Linked DNA regions of Lytechinus pictus. The protein of the gene in region 1 purifies or fractionates together with the protein of each later gene. This does not show direct contact. Links are inferred from orthologs where the notes say so. Each region holds a gene or a part of one and is shown in the gene's direction. Other genes may lie near its edges.

Region 1 (9,083 bases):
AACCCCCGTTTCTTCCAATTCATCAATGTTGGGGTCTTTGGGAAGGGATTAAGATGGAATGTCAAAAAATTTTGAATGTAATCTCTAATAAAACCATTAAACCATCATGGGGTAAAAAGATAACAATATTGGAGGGGTATTTGCCATATGGACATACAGTGGCGTAACTACGGGGGGGGGGGCATGGGAGGCACATGCTCCCCCCATCGGCTGACAAAAAAAAACCCGGGGAAATGGGGAAAAAGAGAAAAGAGGGAGAAAGGAAAATAAACGTAGTGGGAAAGAAGAAAGTATCATTCATTATAATGTTATATTATATTATAATTATGTTATGTTACATTACATAAGAAACATTTTTATCATAACTTTATGAAACATAATTTGCTCAGGGCCTACGTCTTCATTGTTCCTGGTGCTCGCATTGTCTGTTCAACGAGATATATAATCCTGTTGTACTAAAACATCCCGTTTTCAAGTCAATATAAACCAAATATATTTCCTAGCACTTGAGTTATCATTGTTTTATGTAGTGACATAGGCCTATGCTTCTTTTACATAACTCAAAAAGTGATTGCCCCATGTTAAGGTCTTCGTATATATAAAAACACTTCCTGTCCGTGATTACGTTCGCATTAGTGGATTGGTGAGATATGTCTGCTCTTCATGAATTCCTAAAATCAGTCCTTAAAATGTCCCTTTTTCTGATCTGAATATCAATAATTTTCAGCTCGCGCTTCGCACTCGCATCATTTTGTTAATGAAATACGTATGGTCCAAGTTAATTCCTACAAAGAAACCTTAGAATGCCCCACTTCAGGTCTGAATTATCTAACTTATCTACATTATCTGCTCGCGCTTCACGCTCGCAATATTTGATTAGTGAGATGCGTATTATAATCATGATTGCAATGACTACAAAAAGTGTTTCATGTGTTCAGATGTAATTCTAATAAGATCAGCAAGCGCTTGGCACTCGCATTAGATGACTATGGTGAGATATGCATACTCTTAATGGATTCCTAAAATATATTCCTTAAAATCTCGCTGTTTGGGGTCAAAATATACGAAAATTTCAGCTCGCGCTTCGCGCTCGCATTGTTTAGCGAGACAGGTAACAATCATGATTACGCAAATTTGATTATAATGTCCCTTTTTAGGTGTGAATATTAAAAAAAATCAGCTCGCGCTTCGCGCTCGCATTATTTGATCAGTGAGATACATATCCGTTCAATGACATTGTCCTTAAAATGTCTCTATTAGGTTAGAATAACTAGCAACTGAGCGCTCACTCAGTGATTCAAAAATTTTGCTGGGGCCCCCACAATGCCGTGACCCACGGTACGCCACTGTGGACATATCAATTACAATTCCTTGCATATCTAAAAACATGATTGCAAAAAATATGCCAAAATATTTCAGTCATCCTCCCCACCCCTCCACGAAGACGGTACATATTTCAATAATGGGAGCGCGAAGCGCGAGCTAAAAATTGTTGACATTCCGACCTAAAAAATTGTAATTCTATAAGCACTTTTTGTAATCATAAATGGGATAGGTATGTAACTAAACAACTGATGCGAGCGCGAAGCGCGAGAGGAACAAAATTGAGATTTTAGACCTAAAAGCGGGACACTTCATATTTTGTAAATCATGAATAGGAAATGGTATCGTTAATACTGCGAGCGTGAAGCGCTAACTTATAGGCCTACGTTTGACAATCCCATCTGAAAATTGATATTTTGAGAATGTTATGGAATACACGAAGACAAGTCAGGAATTTGGCAAATCGAATAATGCGACCACGCAGTTTGAGCTTAAAATGTTGATATGTAGACCATAAAACGGACATCAGCTGCAGCACCCATTTATAAATGAAAAATTTTTATAAAAGCTCGATGTTCGAGCTGAAATATGTTTTGTATATTGACTTCAAAACTTGCCATTTTAAGCCCCATATCAGCCTGTTGAGCAAGATATGAATCTCATCGAACAGGCAATTCGGCCCGAAGCGCAAGCGAAAATATTATATAGTAACATGAAAGATTTTTTTTTTTTGCAATTAAGTCTTCCCCTCACATACTTGATACTTGATACGATAATTCCTCTTGCAGCTCCAAAAAGCTAAACTGGAATGAACTTTGCAAAATGTCGTGAAAGATTGGTGTCATATAGTGAAGATCTCTAGTGCGATGTGCAAGTAAAAACCTGGATACATCTTAAAGAACAAGAGATCCGGTTGGAGGCTGCAAATTTATAATGATGGGAAGCGCAGCCTCTTTGAATGCTGGTAGACCTGTTTATTTTATTTAGTCGTCTTCCTCCTCTACTTTTTTCTGACTTTCTCCGTCTTTTTCCTTTCTTCTTTCTCCTTTTGTTTGCTCTGCCAATTTTTTTCAGGGGGGCACCTGGGGGGCACACCAAATCTCAGGGGGGCCTGCCCCCTCCCTGTTACTGTACCCGCGGGGGATTTTATTAAGCATCCCCCTTTCCAAAGAGTGAGGGACACGTCCCCCTCGGGTTCCCGCCCATGAAGAAGGGAAAATAAGAGTAAAGAATAAAGTATTCAAAGAAGTTTCAATCCAATTCAATTAAATTTTATTTTCATCTGATTGACATTTTATCAAATTCCACATGAAATATAAAAAATGTTGAAATAAAACAATGAATGTAGTAGGCCTATACAATATGTAAATAAGATTTATGAAAGAAGGCGTAACCCCCCCAGAAAGTAAAATAACAATTTTTTTTACATGAATGACATGAGAATTATTATTGAATATTACCCATGAATGAAAACTAGAGCTTATTTCCAAAAGGAGTTCTTCAGAAAATCTTAAGTTGGTAGAAATATTGCAAATATATATTTTACGTTTTCTAGTCGCTTTTTCTCAATGCATATCACACATTTTCACATTTCTTTTTGCCATTTTATGCAATGCACTTCTCACTCATTCGCCATTTCGTCTTAGTTTTATCGCCCCTTTTCTCTGATTTATGCAATGCACTTCGTACAACCCATTCGCCCTTTTTTTTTTTTTTCTAACCTTTTTTTTTTCTGTTTCATGCTCTCACCTCTTACTACTCATCTGCCCTTTTCTCTCCGTTGTCCCGCCATTTTCTCTCCGTTTCATGGAATGCACTCCTTGGGACCCATTCACAATTTTCTCTCCGTTTATGCACTGCACGCATTAAACCCATTAGCCCTTTTGTCTCCGTTTTCTCGGCCTTTTCTCTCCGTTTTATGCAACGCGCGCCTTACTACCCATTCGCCCTTTTGTCTCCGTTTTCTCGCCCTTTTCTCTCCGTTTATTAGCCGTTTTCTTTCAGTATCTTCACTCCTCTAACCAGCGGCGTAACAGGGGTCGGTGGCCAGGGGGGGCAAGAGCCAAAAATTTCCCGGTCATATAGCATACCGTATAACCTCGTACAAGTGTGATTTGGTGATATAAACAGACGTTATGGTGTAATGAGGCGACTATTTTGAGAGGGCCAGATATTGCGTATCGGGCTGAATTTATCCTTAACAAAAATGTTGCGAGCGAGCGAAGCGAGCGAGCAAAAATTTTGACATTTTTTATACAAAAATTCAATTTTGTGATAGATTTTGACATGATATCCAGAGAATATATTTCAATCTTTTCTCTTTCCATTCCTTTTTTGTGGTCTGTACGCCACTGTGAAAAGGAATTTTTGCGGCAGTAGCGTGAAGAGTAAAAAAAAACCCAAAATAGAAAAGGGCGCAGTATGGTGCATGTACTAAAAAACTGCTTAATATAAATCCCGAGCGAGCGAAGCGAGCGAGAAAAAAAATCGTCTTTTCATGAGAATCTAACTTTGCTATATTTTTTGACATTATATTCAGTAAATAAAATCATAATATTACATAGCTTATGTAGATTCGAATCCTGTGCTTTTCTTTCCTCTTATTTTGGTTGCAGAACTTTTAGGGGCCATGGCTAAACCCTTCCATACTCATATACGGCAGTGCTATGCGGTTGGGGTCTTGGGCGGAGCCCCCGGAACTTCTTGATATCAAAGCCATTTAAACCCCGCAGATGGCCGCTATCTTTAATCATATCGCGGGTATAGGATATAGCTTTTACACAACACATCTATTCAACCCAGTTGCGTAATAAACCAAATATTTTGACGGGGCAAAGCATAGCGATGTGTGAAAATTTGTAAAAAGTCGCCAGCGAGCGAAGCGAGCTGAAAAAAAAATTGCCTATTGAAATTAAATTCAAATTATGTGATAGATTTTCCCATTATATTCAGCAAATGACACATTTCATTATTTACATTCGTTTCATTAATTTGTCTTCTATATTTCTTTTATTTCCCCTTGGTTGTGGAACCAAGACCCCCCGCCACGCCTGTACGCCAGTGATTGAACGAAAAGCTTAATGTAGGAAGGGTCCCTACAGGGGGGCGTTATAGAGCCATTGGAATGTTAGGCCTATAATGAGGAGCCCCTACTGCGTGGGGTCCGGCGGGGCAAAGCCCTGGTAGCTTTTTTGCATAAAATTTAGCTAGCTTATAGCAAAATGTTGTATGCATGCAGTCCATCTTTCTTCCCGCTCTTTTTTATCAATCCTCGGCAGCCCGGTCGTGTTATCAAGTGTTTTTTTTTTCTTGTTCTTCTTTGTTTTCCAATGTAGCTTTTGACTAATTCTACCTTCATTTTCCGCTATTGTTTGCCACTTTTTCATCTTGAAATTTATTTCCCATCATGCTATTGATTTACTTAGGCCTACTTTGGAATGATTTTTTCTTTCTCAAATGTTCTTCTTTCGTTCCTTTTCCCGCTTTCCTTCCTTTTCCATTAAACAAAATAATAAGTTCTTCGGTTTTTTCCCCTTTCCTCCTTTCCTTTTCCCTTTTCCTCCCCCTTCCCTTTCTTCCCCCCTCCCTTTTCTTTTTTCCCGTTTTTTTTTTATTTTCCCGGTGAAATCCGCCAGGGGGGGCAACTTGCCCCCCCTGCCCCCCCGCCTGTTACGCCACTGCCTCTAACAGGATCCTCGTCCTTAACATTCGCCGTTTTCTCGCCGTTTTCATGGGGAAATCAATAGCTCCGCTAATATTGAACAATGATGGCACTCCATAATAATTCAAGATTTACGTAAGAAACCTAATGTAGCCGTTTTTTGGCCGTTTTTTCTCCAAAAATTCTCCCTTTCTTCGCCCTTTTCTAGCCGTTTTCAAAACGGCGAAAAAACTGCAACTTTGAATTTCCCATAGGTTATAACACACAAAACGGCGAAAAAAGGGCGAAAAAACTGCAGTGGCTCACTGTGCCGCCTATGGAAATGGCAATTACACGATTACTTTGATTAGACGAAATATTAGACCACAGAGATACGATCTGACGTACACGTAAGCTCTCGGAGGGAGCTAGAGAGGAAACTCTTATTTCCTCTTCTCTCCCCCCCCCCCAGGAAAAATTGTATTATTTTGCTCCGCCAATAAGTCACGAAATATATTAGACCAGTGTTGCTGCCCTCTACGTACGGTTAATGGTCAAGCGCAAGCCATGCTATGATATGATTAATTGCATGCTAGCTATCGCTAGCAGCAGGACAGAGCGGACCAAGAAGAACCATGGCGTCTCTGGTAAAGCCAAAAATTTTCAACAAATTACCGGCTTATATGGCAGCAATTTCTAGAACAGGTCTATTAAGGTGTAGATTTACTATGATGAACCCTAATTTGTTGTCTTGTAAGTATCAATAACGTTGGTAGTGAGGTAAGATTTTGGGTTATTTGCGGCTTGATTCTCTGAGCAGAATTAACCGGATTGGCTCTCACTTGCCCCCCGTGCCTGGCGGCGTAGCTCGTCTTTGGCAAAGTACTAGGAGTAGCTTAGTCTTAGACAGCTGAGCTGGGCAAGAGTTCCATATGCACCCCCACTAAAATTGAAAATAAAAACATGGAGAAGGTTCAGAATAATATATCTAGCCATAGGCCCTAATATAGAACATATATGATGGGGGAGTGGAAATTCATATCAAAATATGGCTTTACTTTATTCCGTCAAGTTTCGAGCAGGAGTAGGCCTAGTGCGTGTAATTAAAATTAAATCCATGCCATGGCATAGACATTGGTTTATTTAGTCCGTAAAGGGTCTGTGAGTCTAGACTATCGGCTGATAATCGTTAAAATACCCCTTGACTGCAGATAAAACGAGGTGAGTTCAAGTCCCGACTACGGTAATTAACATTAAAAAAAATGATAGAAAAATCTGAGGTGAATAAACCGGAATTCTCAACAATCTTGTTATTTTTGGTGGGGGATGCATATGGAACTCTTTCCGACAGCTGGCAGCCGTCTGTTTCGAGGAGTTTTTTAACATTTTAATTTCTCCTCGTACACAGATGGCTCGCTATCGTGCAGCCACCATAAGGGAGTTAACAATGCAAAATCCCCCGATGGGGCTCTTCAAGTTTTGTCTTTATTTCATAAAAATATATAAAAAGAACTGTACCAAAAATAAAGATAATTATTCCGTTTTGGCCTGAAATGCACCAAAATGGGGGAAAATAAACTTAAAAGGGGAAGAAACAGTGACTTGATTCAATTCTTGCCCAAATTTTGTATGAAAAAAAATTGAATAAGGGGGACTAATGTTACTCGTTAGGCTAGCCAGGCATGCCAGGACAGGAGGCTTGGAAGCTAACGTTAACGTAGTCGTAGAGAGTAAAAATCATTCACTAACGAGTAACGTATGCTTACTCTCCACGGAGCCAGGGAAAACTGTGACACTACAAATATTATAGATAGGCAAGTGACAAATAATAACAAGTGCTACAATCCAATCAGAGCACGAACTGAACAATACAGGAACTCGTTCTTCCCATCCACTATTGAGTGGAATCATCTGAGTGATCCTGTCATCAGTGCAGGTGTGAATACAGTTGGAAAACACTCCGTCCATCGGAAAGGACGCAAATATTGGGCCCTGCATCGTATACATACATACACACATATATACACAGTGTATACATACACTGTTTCCTCTTTTATCTTTCTTGGAAAAGGTATATACATCTTTGAGAGCACTGTCTAGTGGTTTCTGTTTCTGCACTTCTTCTGCACTTCTTGTTTGATTTAGTCTTGAGCACATTTTAAGGCATCATCTACACATTGCTCCGTTTGCCACAGGCCCCAAAGGACAATGTTTCGGTTAATTTCTCTTTCCACTTAATAACTTTTGCCTTTGCTTCCTCAGCAGCTTTCATTTTTTCTGCTGCTGCATCTCTACGACTCTGTTATATCTGCTTTTGTCTCTGTTTGAAAGCTTTCTGAAGCTTAGCTACATTTCTGCTAGCCTTAGAGAAGAGTTGTGCCTTTTCAGATTTAGTCTTTCCCTTCAACCAGGCAAGTGTCTGTTTGTGTGAGAACATAATGTAGGCCTCTGCCGCAACTGTTGATAGATTTGGTTTTTCCTTCAGCAGCCTGTCAAGATGTCCGAACACACTTTCAGAGAACTTATTGGGTTTGGGAAGACCTTTTGCTCTTTCACGTTCCTCCTCGCTTGCACCATGCCACCGTCCACCTTCTAGGTGATCTGCAAATATTCTCTTTTAAAGAGTTGCTATAGTTACCAGCATTTTTGATAACACAACTTCAGTCTTATCTTCAAATGTGTGTTTCATTGATGAGAGCTTTGAAGATTGGGTCACTATCCAAAGAGTGTTGTTCAGCAAATGGAAGTCTCAATGACCCTTTCATGAAATCCCTGACATGTTCACTAGCATGTTGGATGAAGTCGATGATGGTTTGATATCGCTCTCCAATGTCCATGAGATGAATCTCTGTAACCTCTATTGATCTCCATAAGGGCATCTTGACTAAGTACGACACCAATCCAAGTGCTTTGCATCCTGCTACATGTAAGTATTCTTCCACCTTGAGATCATAAAGAACAGCCTTGAGAAGCTTATTGTCTGCGTTACTCTCTAAGAAAATGGTGAGTTCTCCACCTAAAAAAAACCACCCCTACCGCATTTTGAAATAGAATGTTAAATCTATTTCCGCGAAACTGCTCAAGTGGAACTTTGTTGTATCCAAGTTGACTCTTCAACCACAGCCTGGCATATTCCAAAAATCTACCATGGCAGCCAGACTTCTCATCACCACCCCAAGATATCACTTTGCAGACTGTTCGGACGAGCCTGGTTGTGCCAGATTCTGTTGATTTCCTGAATGACTTGTCAAAGACAGGTGCTCCTTCAGCGAAAAACCCTCGTTGAGTTCACAAAGGGATGCTGATGATACCTCAGCCAAGTGGATAAGTGCATGTAGACCACAAAAGAAGTTATATATCTTTCCCAATGACAACTTTTCATTCTCAGAAAGCAAGTCATAATTTTCTAATTAAATACTTCATGTAGGTCAGCATGATGTCTTCAAATGCCTGGTACTCGAGTGTCGCAGGTTCATCAGAGAATCTTTTAAGTAACATTTTGATTGCAAAAGAATAACCTGTGTGTTCTAGCCAATCTTCTACTTTTGTCTCTTCTTTGTATTCAAATGTTGGATCAGACAATGCTGTGTCCAGTGAGAATAAAAATTATCTCATAATATACCTTTCATCTATTTTTGCAGTCTTCTGTGAAGCAACTGCACTGAGAAGTGCTGTTTTCCCTTGAGAATCCCAGAAAGTTTGTGAAACAACAAAATACAGTTTGAATGGACTTGTGGATTTATCATGGATTTAAAAGCGGAAGACATAATGGCAGACTCAACACTTATTTGTGTTCCAATAATTTTTTTTTTCATAGCAAAGTTAGGGGTAAAGAGGGTAGAAAGAGAATAAGTTTGAAACATATTGTGAAATCTACAAAATAGCACACTGAATTATAAATCAAGAAGCAGGCATTCCTGATGAAACTAAATAAGGCATACAAGCTAAAAAATGCAACCCCTTTCAAATGTTGTAACAGTAGTAATGATTTTGTTTCATATACTACTGATGACAATAATAATGATAATAATGATAATATTAAGGATAGTGATAACAATAATAGGGCCTAATCATAACTCCACTGGCTACCTATTACTTCTCGTATCACTTACAAAATTCT
Region 2 (9,226 bases), on another chromosome or scaffold:
TATGATTTTCATGGGTAATTTGAATATTTTGGCGGCCATATTGGATTTTGCCAATTTGCAGAAAATGCTCAAGGTTACACGAGTGGCATCATTCAGATTCGGAATCAGCACCCTCGAATTGACAAGAAACCATAAAAAAACATTGTATATATAAAAAAACAAGGTTCGACCCCTTCTATCCTGGACTAATTTTCACATACCCGCGAATTAAAATGAGAAATTCCAACATTCGCGTTTTGAGAAGAAGTGAGTTCACCAAACAGCTTTCAACTCTGTTGGAACCACAGACGGGGAGGGCAAAAAGAAAAATGGGTAAAATCGATTTCTTTAAAAAGGGAACGAAGAATGAAGATGAGTATTGAAAACATTTTTGTTGCCATTGTCATTAGCAGAACGTGTTAGTAGTATAAGTGGTAGTAGTAGTAGTAGTAGTAGTAGAAGTAGTAGTATCATTATAATAATAATAATTATTATTATTATCATTATTATTATTACTATTGTTATCATCATCACCATCATCATTACCATCATCATCATTATCTTCATTTTTCATTTAATTTGATTTTCTTTTTCACCAAAAGAAATATAAAAGTACAGTAACAGATGAAATGTTTAAGTATACTTTGTAGGTGCATCTTGTAGATAAATTTCTGAGTAGACTTTTTGAGTCAAAGAATCGAAATATTGCAGCTCGGGCTCCCCGCCCGATTTGTCCATTTCGTGAGATACGTGGCTATTCATGTTTATAAATTTCTGCAAATAGTCCTCTAAAAATTAATTTTCAGGTTAATAAATTACGCTCGGGCTTCGCGCTCGCATGAAATATTTAGCGAGAAATCATGATATAAATCTCTGGCTTCATGTTTGCGATTGAAATGTTTTATATTATGTCTACCTTTCTCAGGCCATATCACAAATTCATCTCGCGCTTCGCTCTTGCATTAATGGGGGCCTATCATGTTCACGAATTTCAAGTCGTACCGTACTGCTTTTATATTCTTTCCGACGGGCCTATATTAAACTGCATGTTTCTAAAATAAGAATAAGAAACATGAGAAATTAACAACGATATATTGATTCTGAGCTTGTTTCAATGAGGCACATATTCCTATTTATGGACCTTGATTTTAATGCAAATTACTTGATTAGTTTGTTTTTTCATAGTGTTTACACACAGTTACCGTGGGTCACGGCATTGGAGGCACGAGCTAAAATTTTAAGTCGCCACTTATTGCAACTATAGACCTTGTTAACGATTAACGCGAGCCTTCTTTTGATGCAATCATGGGTGTCGATCGGTATTCTTGGTTGGGGGGATGATTGACACAAATGTTCTTGTGGATGGGGATCTTTCAACATTACCCCCACTAAAATCACAAGTTAGGACATTTGGGAGTGGTTGATATGCATGGTGTTCTTGCAGTGGCGTACCGTGAGTCACGGCATTGGGGGGCACCAGCAAAATTTTTGAGTCACTTAGTGAGCGCGCGAAGCGCGCTCAGTTGCCAGGTATACTGACCTAATAGGGACATTTTAAGGACAGTGCCATTAAACGGATATGTATCTCACTGCTCAAATAAAGCGAGCGTGAAGCGCGGGCTGAAAATTTTTGATATGCAGACCAAAAAGGACATTATAAGCAAATTTTTGTAATCATGATACATACCTGTCTCGCTAAACAAACAATGCGAGCGCGAAGCGCGAGCTGAAATTTTTGTAAATATTGACCCCAAACAATTATGGAATCCATTAAGAGTATACATATCTCACCATAGTCATCTAATGCGAGTGCAAAGCGCTTGCTGATTTTGCTACATCTAAACACATGAAGCACTTTTTGTAGTCATTGTAATCATGATAATACGCATGTCACTCATCAATATTGCGAGCGCGAGCTGAAAATTTAGGATATTCAGACCTGAAGAGAGGCATTCTAAGGCCTATTTGTAAGAATTCACTAAGACCATACGATACATATTTCACTGAACAAATGATGCGAGCGCGAAGCGCGAGCTGAAAATTTTTGATATTCAGATCAGAAAAAGGGACATTTTAAGGCTTATTATATTCACTCGCGTTCGTAATCACTCGCGTCGGGTTGGTAATCACACGCGTTTTTTATTTTTGGCGATTTTTTTTTTTTCGGTGCGATTTTTTTTCTAACGGTGTTTTCAATGAGACAAACGTACTGGAAAAATAAAATGAAATTGAAATTCGAGTTTCGTTTTATTTTAAGCTGGTAAGTGCCTTAAATAAAACGTTCTCGACCACTGTTTTAAGATAACAAGCAAATTTTGACTACTGTTTTAACATAATCACATTCCACATCTTAAATCTTAGAGCCATAGGCGGCGGAAGCGGGGGGGGGGCTCCCCCTAAAAAAAGAGAGAGGGGGGGGAGAAAGGAAGGGAAAGAGGGAGAAAAGAGAAAGAAAGAAAAAAGACAGACAGAAAGAAAGAAGCAAGGAAAAAAGGAGAAAGAAAGGAGAAAAGGAATAAAGAAGAAAAAGGAGGAAAGGCTACTCTCGATTTAGCTTTGCCTTTGGAGGATTTTCCTGAAGTCTGTGGTATTCTTTATAAAGCATAGTGAGGTGCTACAATTTCATAATATCACTATTTATTTGCTTCTTCCTTTCTTTGTGAATTATTCTACACTAACGTAAAAATCAGGGAGGAAAAAGTGCTGAAGAAGAAAAGCAAGAAGGAGGAGGAGAAGTAGAAGAAGAAAAAAGAAGATGGAGGACATAAGGGGGTAAAAATAAAATTAAAAAGAGAAAATTGAGGGGAGGATGTAGAAGAAGAGAAAGAGAAGATAAAATAAGGGGAAGACTGAGAAGAGAAAAGGAAGAAGTGAGAAGGGAGATGAACAATAAGGACAAATACAGAGAAATAAAAAAAAACAAATACAGAGAAATACAGAGAAATTTAAAAGAACAAATACAGAGAAATTAAAAAAAAAATTAAAAATGTTTGAAAAAAACTCCTCAAAACAGACTGCTGCCAGCTGTCTGGGGCGGATCAAGCTTGTTATCTATTCTTGGTACTTAAAACAGTAGTCGAGTACATTTTATTTCAAGGCACTTAATTGCCGGCTTAAAACGAAACTCAAATTTCCCTGCATGTCTGTTTCATTGAAGACACCGTGAAAAAAAAATCGCACCGAAATAAAAAAAAATCGCCAAAAATCCAAAACGCGAGTGATTACGAACCAGAACGCGACGCGAGTGATTATAAACTGCCCATTTGAAGGACTGAATTTTAGGAATTCATGAAGAGCAGACATTTCTCACCAATCTACTAGTGCGAACGTAAGCACGGACAGGAAATGTTTTATATTAACACCTTAAAATGGGGCAATCACTTTAAGTAGTCATGAAAAAGAACCATATGTCACTACATCAAACAATAATAAGTCGAAGTGCGAGGAAATATATGTGGTGTATATTGACTTAAAAACGTTAAACAGACAATGTGAGTACCGGGAACAATAAAGACATCTAGGCCTGAGCAAAATAAAGTTATGAAAAATGTTTCTTATGTATTATAACATAACATTCTTAATTATTATAATATAACATTATAATGAACAATAATTTCTTCATTCCCACTACGTTTCTCTTCCTTTCTCCCTCTTTTTCTCATCTTCCCAGTTTTTTTTCTGGCCAGCCGATTGGGGGGCACGTGCCCCCCCCATGCCCCCCCCCCCCCGTAGTTACGCCACTGTGTTCTTGGAAATTCCTTTATTGTTGCAGTGTACTGTACTTATATAATTTTTTTGAAAATTCAATTTGTGTTACAAGTAAGCCTATTCTAAACTCATATACGAAAGATAAAATGACAAAAATCGTCTGGACCATGTACAAAGTGATCTGTTTATTGAGCATGATGTATACAACTTCTCTCTTAAATCTAACCCGTCTGGCAATATCTTTTTTCTTCTTAATGCATGATGATAAAATGCAGAATGATAAAATGCAGATTCGGACAAATTAAGACTAGCACAAATTACAAACTGTGTGGCTTCTCGTGCGCCATCGGGCTTACCGTCAATCCTTAGACGATTTAACATGTTTTAAATGCTTTATAAGTGCATGAAACAAAAACAAACGTAAAAACAATAAAAACTCAACTGTCATGTTATGATATTTCTCCAACATTTTCTTGAACCATCAGTGTGTAATATCAGCTAATATATGTGTTAAAATGAAATTTACGTACCGCATGAGTGTGCTCATATAGAATGCAAAACTGTCATCCCTTTCCAAACTCGAAAGAGATTTTTTTTTTTGCCAAATTAAGAAAAAATCAATCAAGTTTAGTTATTCAAATCCATAACAACAACAAGAATAACATGAAAAAAAAAATCCGATGTTCATATCCGAAGATACGCTTTAGAGAGAAATGAATGATTATTCTTTCTGAAACCATTAATTGATTTCACTTATTAAATTGTTAAAATATGATCATATTACCACTGGTGGGATGGAACACCCTATCAACAAAAGTTGTTTGTCGTCGGGGTCCTTTTATGTCATGTGTTAAAAAATATCATATACATAAACATTTCATTCTTTTTCATCTTGAACCTCCACCCATCTGTATAAAAGTCCTGGAAAAGAACGTTTTTATTTAATATCAATATACACAAATTGCGAGGGAAACAAAATGATTGATAGCATACTATAATCATCACTATAATCATCATGATCAAACTTTTCATTTTTTCATCATCATTATTATAAATTTTCTACCCTAAATTATTGGGGGGGATATATCCCCCCATCCCCCCGTGATCGACACCCATGGATGCAATCATAGTCGCCGTGTTCTTATTATATGCATTTTAATGAGAACATACAGGTGTTTTGACAATTAGGCGTATCTGATCACTAACAAAGGTTTTTTCCTAGTCTTTTGCGTTTGCTGGCCATGTTGACTGATGTCCTGTATCCCGTTTATGTTTTTCCTTTCACCGTGTTAGATCTACTTCTGGGTTGGATTTCATTTTCCTGAGAATCGTTAGGGACACCGTAGAAAATGTGTTTCGCAAGGTATTTGGATAAGTTGTTTTTAATAAAATGGCTAATAATATGCTGAATTATCGATTTCTACAAGTAGTTCGCGTACCATGTGTGCATCGTATGATTAAGAGCTCATCATCTTTTCTTCCAGAAGTATTAGGTAAGAAAAATATGCTTAAATCGAACGGCTGCCGCTTTGGCCTGGCAATGCGGGTCGGCCGTCGGCCAACCTGGCACTTCCTTGCTGGTGCGGTCGCGGTGCGGCGCTAGCTTGCTCGCTTGTCCGTAGCCGTGGCGTGGCCGAGGTCATAGACATAGTGCCCTGCCATCCCCCAGACCCAGTCAGTGGCAGTTCAGTGGTTGATTGATAAGCAAGGCGAAATTTGCCATCAGTCATCAAAACCTGATAACCAAAATTAATAAACTATTTCGGTATATTCTGCAGTGCAGTGCTGCATGCTAAACTTAATAATTTTGCAAATAAAAATAAAATAGATCCAAAAATTCCAACTGTTAGGCCCAGGCCACTCATGGGATCAATGCATCTCGGGTGCGAAGGATTCATATGCACCTGGTGCACGCGAATTTTTCACACCCTTTTTACTAAAATAACTATGCCATTCCTTTTAAAATAATGTTTCTAATTGTGCTATGACACTTACCGAACCATATGGATCGTTTCTTGACTTCTCTTTGGTGTGTTTTTAAGAAAAAAAAGCATTTTCTCGTGATCTTCACGTAGATACCGCAGGGTCATCGTGGTTGTAAACTTTTGCTTGAAGAGGGCGCGCGATATTATTCACAAGATGTTTGTTTACGGTTCTGCAGCTTGTACTACTAGCTGCATTTTAGACACTCAGCATTATTTTCCTCTTTCTTTTTTTTTTTTTGCTGTCAAGCGGTATTTTCTATTGTAGCGCCATCAGCGATGATGAAAATAATGTAAAGAGTCGCCTTGAAATGAAGAAAAATTATGTCACATTAATTCGTTAGTTTGTTTCCTATTTTTTTGCACTTTTTTCTTCTTCCTCATCTATGATCAAAGGTGAATACCTTTTTTTGATATCTGTTCTAAAAGCTGGACATTTTAAATATTTTGTTCAAGTAAATAAATCAACAGAATAGTAATCAAAATGCGATAGAGCTGCCCGAGCTGAAAATTCTGATACAAGGACTTGAAAATAAAACATTCTGAGCACTTTTTATAACCATGATGAGGAGACCTATATATATATATATATATATATATATATATATATATTTATATATATATATATATGTATATGAAATAAGCTAACACGAGAAAAAGACGTTTTGGGGACTGTTAAATAAGAATTCATGAGTGGGATAGGTAACTATCTATTCTATTCTTGTTCGTTTTCTATTATTATTTGTGTGTTGTGTTTATTTTTCTTGAAGCACCAAAAGGTGGACATGTCCGCTAAGATATATTAACGAAGTCACCATTATTATCACAAGCTAACGGATCAAAATGCGAGCGTGAAACGTGAGCTTCTTTTTTTCTTAATTCAGTCTTAACGATACTTTTTCATCATATTTTAAAGGTGAATCTCATGATTCAAAATGATAAATGCTTGTCGCACGGGCAGAAATAGCGGGACCAATAGTTATTTTCAATATTCCGAACTGCATTCTGGACGTTGTATAAGCGCCTTTGTATAACAATTAAAAGGGTAGGCCTATTTACCTTACAAATTATGCGAGCGCTGAACTTTTGGACATTTAAACCTCAACAAATGGACATTTGTAAAATATGAACAACATCATAAATGTCACTTACAAAAATGATGCCAGCGCGAAGCTCGCGCTTAGAGTTTTTGATATTGATGACAGGACTGTATCTAAATGAAAAATAATGCGAGGGCATTTGCGCTTAAGATTTAAATTTGGGATTTGAAAAGTCCGACAGATTACCTATACTTTTAAAAGAGGAATGACCTCCAGAATTCAAGCGCGAAGCGCCAGTAGATTTATGTTGAAGTTTAGACCTAGAACAGGGACGTTGAACCTTTATAATCATGAAAAAGATGGTATTTTTACAAATAAAACATGGGAGTCTAATTTTGTTTTAGTGTTAATATTCAGATCTTCAAACTTGACATTTTCCTATCCCCTTCATCATCCCCTCTCCTTCTCCCTTTCCCCATTTTCGTTCTCCCTTCTTTTCTTCTCTCCCTTTCCCTTCCCTTTTTCGCTTTTCCTTTCCCTTCTTTTCTTTCCTTTCTCCCTCCCCTACTCTTTTCTCGCTCTTTCCATTTTTCTTTCCCTCTCCCTTCCCCTCTTCCTTTCTTTTGTTTTCTTTCTATTTTATGGTCTCCTTTTCCCTCTCTCTCCTCTACCTTTCCCCCTCCCCTGATCTGTCTTTTATTGTCTCTCCTTCCCTTTCCCGCCCCCTCCATTCCCTTTCTCGCTTTTTCCTTTCTCTTCTTTTGTTTCCTTTCTCCCTCCCCTACTCTTTTCTCGCTCTTTCCATTTTTCTTTCTCTCTCCCTTCCCCTCTTCCTTTCCTTTGTTTTCTTTCTATTTTATGGTCTCCTTTTCCCCCTCTCTCCTCTACCTTTCCCCCTCCCCTTTTCCTTTCCCTTTCCCTCTCCTTTTTTGTGCAAACATTAACACGAATATCTTGCTTCCTACACACACACACAAATGCCCGCAATCTAACACACGTAATGCGAAACAATCGGGACATTATCATTTTGTTCATATATATATATGTATATTTTCTCAATGAACATTTTCATCTATTTAAAGCTTTGAAAATTATTAAACAATGATTCCATAGGCGAAATCTCAATGATCATTAGGAAGGTACTTTACCCATTTTCATTTTATGTCATTGTGATTATTCCATACTAAGGCAACATATTTTGGATATAAAAATATGTGAAGGATATGTTCCTCTTCTGTTTTATACTTTAACAGAAAACATTTTGTTCAACCAAATTATGATTTGTATTTCCAAGTTCCATGTAATATTTTCATTGGAAAATCTCTTAAAGGTCAAGTGCACCCCAGAAAAAATTGTTTGAATAAATAGAGAACTATGTTGATTTTTGGTACAATTTCCTATTATGCGCCGACGACTTGAATCGAGAATGTTCGATAGGAAAATTTCGCATTTCGATTGTTGTTTGCGTAATTTCCACCGCAGTACGAAGGATGACTAAGGACGGACCGAGCGAAGTATCCTGGTTGAGATTTGGAGGTAAGCGATAAAAACACTTTAATAAATAATTTATAATTTCTTTTTCAAATAAACTTAAACCATACGATCAAGATTAACATAGTGGACAAATATTGAAAGGTTTGGCGTAGTTTAGTCCCTCACATTCGTGTGATGAATGAAAACGTCAAAATGCACTATGAAATCACATGTGTTGTGCGAGGTTAGTATACTAACCTCGCATGTTGTGTGAGTGAGGCCCAGGCCAGGGTGACCAGATTTTACAAAATGAAATACGGGACAATTGACAAAAAAGATCAACATTAAAGTAGGATACACAGTGTTAGACTTGTGAAAAATATAAAGAATTGGAAGGGAGGGTGAATGAAAGAATGAAGGAGAGAAGGAAAAGAGATGAATTCGGATTGAGAAGAAAGAGAGAAAAATATTATGAAGGGGAAAATGAAGAAAAGGATGAAAGAAAGAGAAAAAGGTTTCTGTCATTCTTTGAATTTAATTTAGATAAAATGGAAAAGAAAGGAAGGGAAGATGAATAAATGTGTGAACTTAGACAAAATAAAGGAGGAAAGAAAGAATGAAGGAAAGAAAATGTTTCCTTTATTCTTTGATAGAAAGAAACAAACAGGAAGTGAGGAAGGAAGGAAGGGAAAGAAAAAAAAAGAATAAGGGAAAAGAATTAGAAGGAAAAATAATATAAAGAATGAAAGAAAGGAGGAAAGAGAGGGAGGAAAGAATGAATTAAGAGAGGAGAGAATGAAAAAAACTATGGAAGGAGAGAAAGAACGAAAAGGAGAGGAAGGGAGGAAGAAGCAAAGAAAAGTTGAAATAAAGAAAGAAGGATGGAAATAAAAAAATTTAATTTAATAATAAAAGAAAGCAGGTAAGAGAAAGAATGAAAGAAAGAAAAATTACCACAGAGAGAGAAAGGATGGGGCTAGGAAATAAAGATAGATGGAACGAAAAAGGGCAAGCAGGAAGGATAGAAGGATGAAGAAAGAATGA

The links.
Region 2: the proteins of small ribosomal subunit protein mS27-like (region 1) and nitric oxide-associated protein 1-like purify together in Homo sapiens (co-immunoprecipitation; 3 studies listed by BioGRID and IntAct, counting the BioPlex papers as one, with this or other methods). This does not show direct contact. The link is inferred for Lytechinus pictus from reciprocal best matches to the Homo sapiens genes MRPS27 and NOA1.

What each region holds. Positions count from the first base shown.
Region 1 is NC_087249.1:14,653,911-14,662,993, reverse strand, and holds the start of small ribosomal subunit protein mS27-like, read left to right. Parts: upstream 1-5,598; coding exon 5,599-5,716; intron 5,717-9,083. UniProt on the Homo sapiens protein: RNA-binding component of the mitochondrial small ribosomal subunit (mt-SSU) that plays a role in mitochondrial protein synthesis. Stimulates mitochondrial mRNA translation of subunit components of the mitochondrial electron transport chain.
Region 2 is NC_087256.1:9,378,031-9,387,256, reverse strand, and holds the start of nitric oxide-associated protein 1-like, read left to right. Parts: upstream 1-4,997; 5' UTR 4,998-5,077; coding exon 5,078-5,180; intron 5,181-9,226. UniProt on the Homo sapiens protein: Involved in regulation of mitochondrial protein translation and respiration. Plays a role in mitochondria-mediated cell death. May act as a scaffolding protein or stabilizer of respiratory chain supercomplexes. Binds GTP.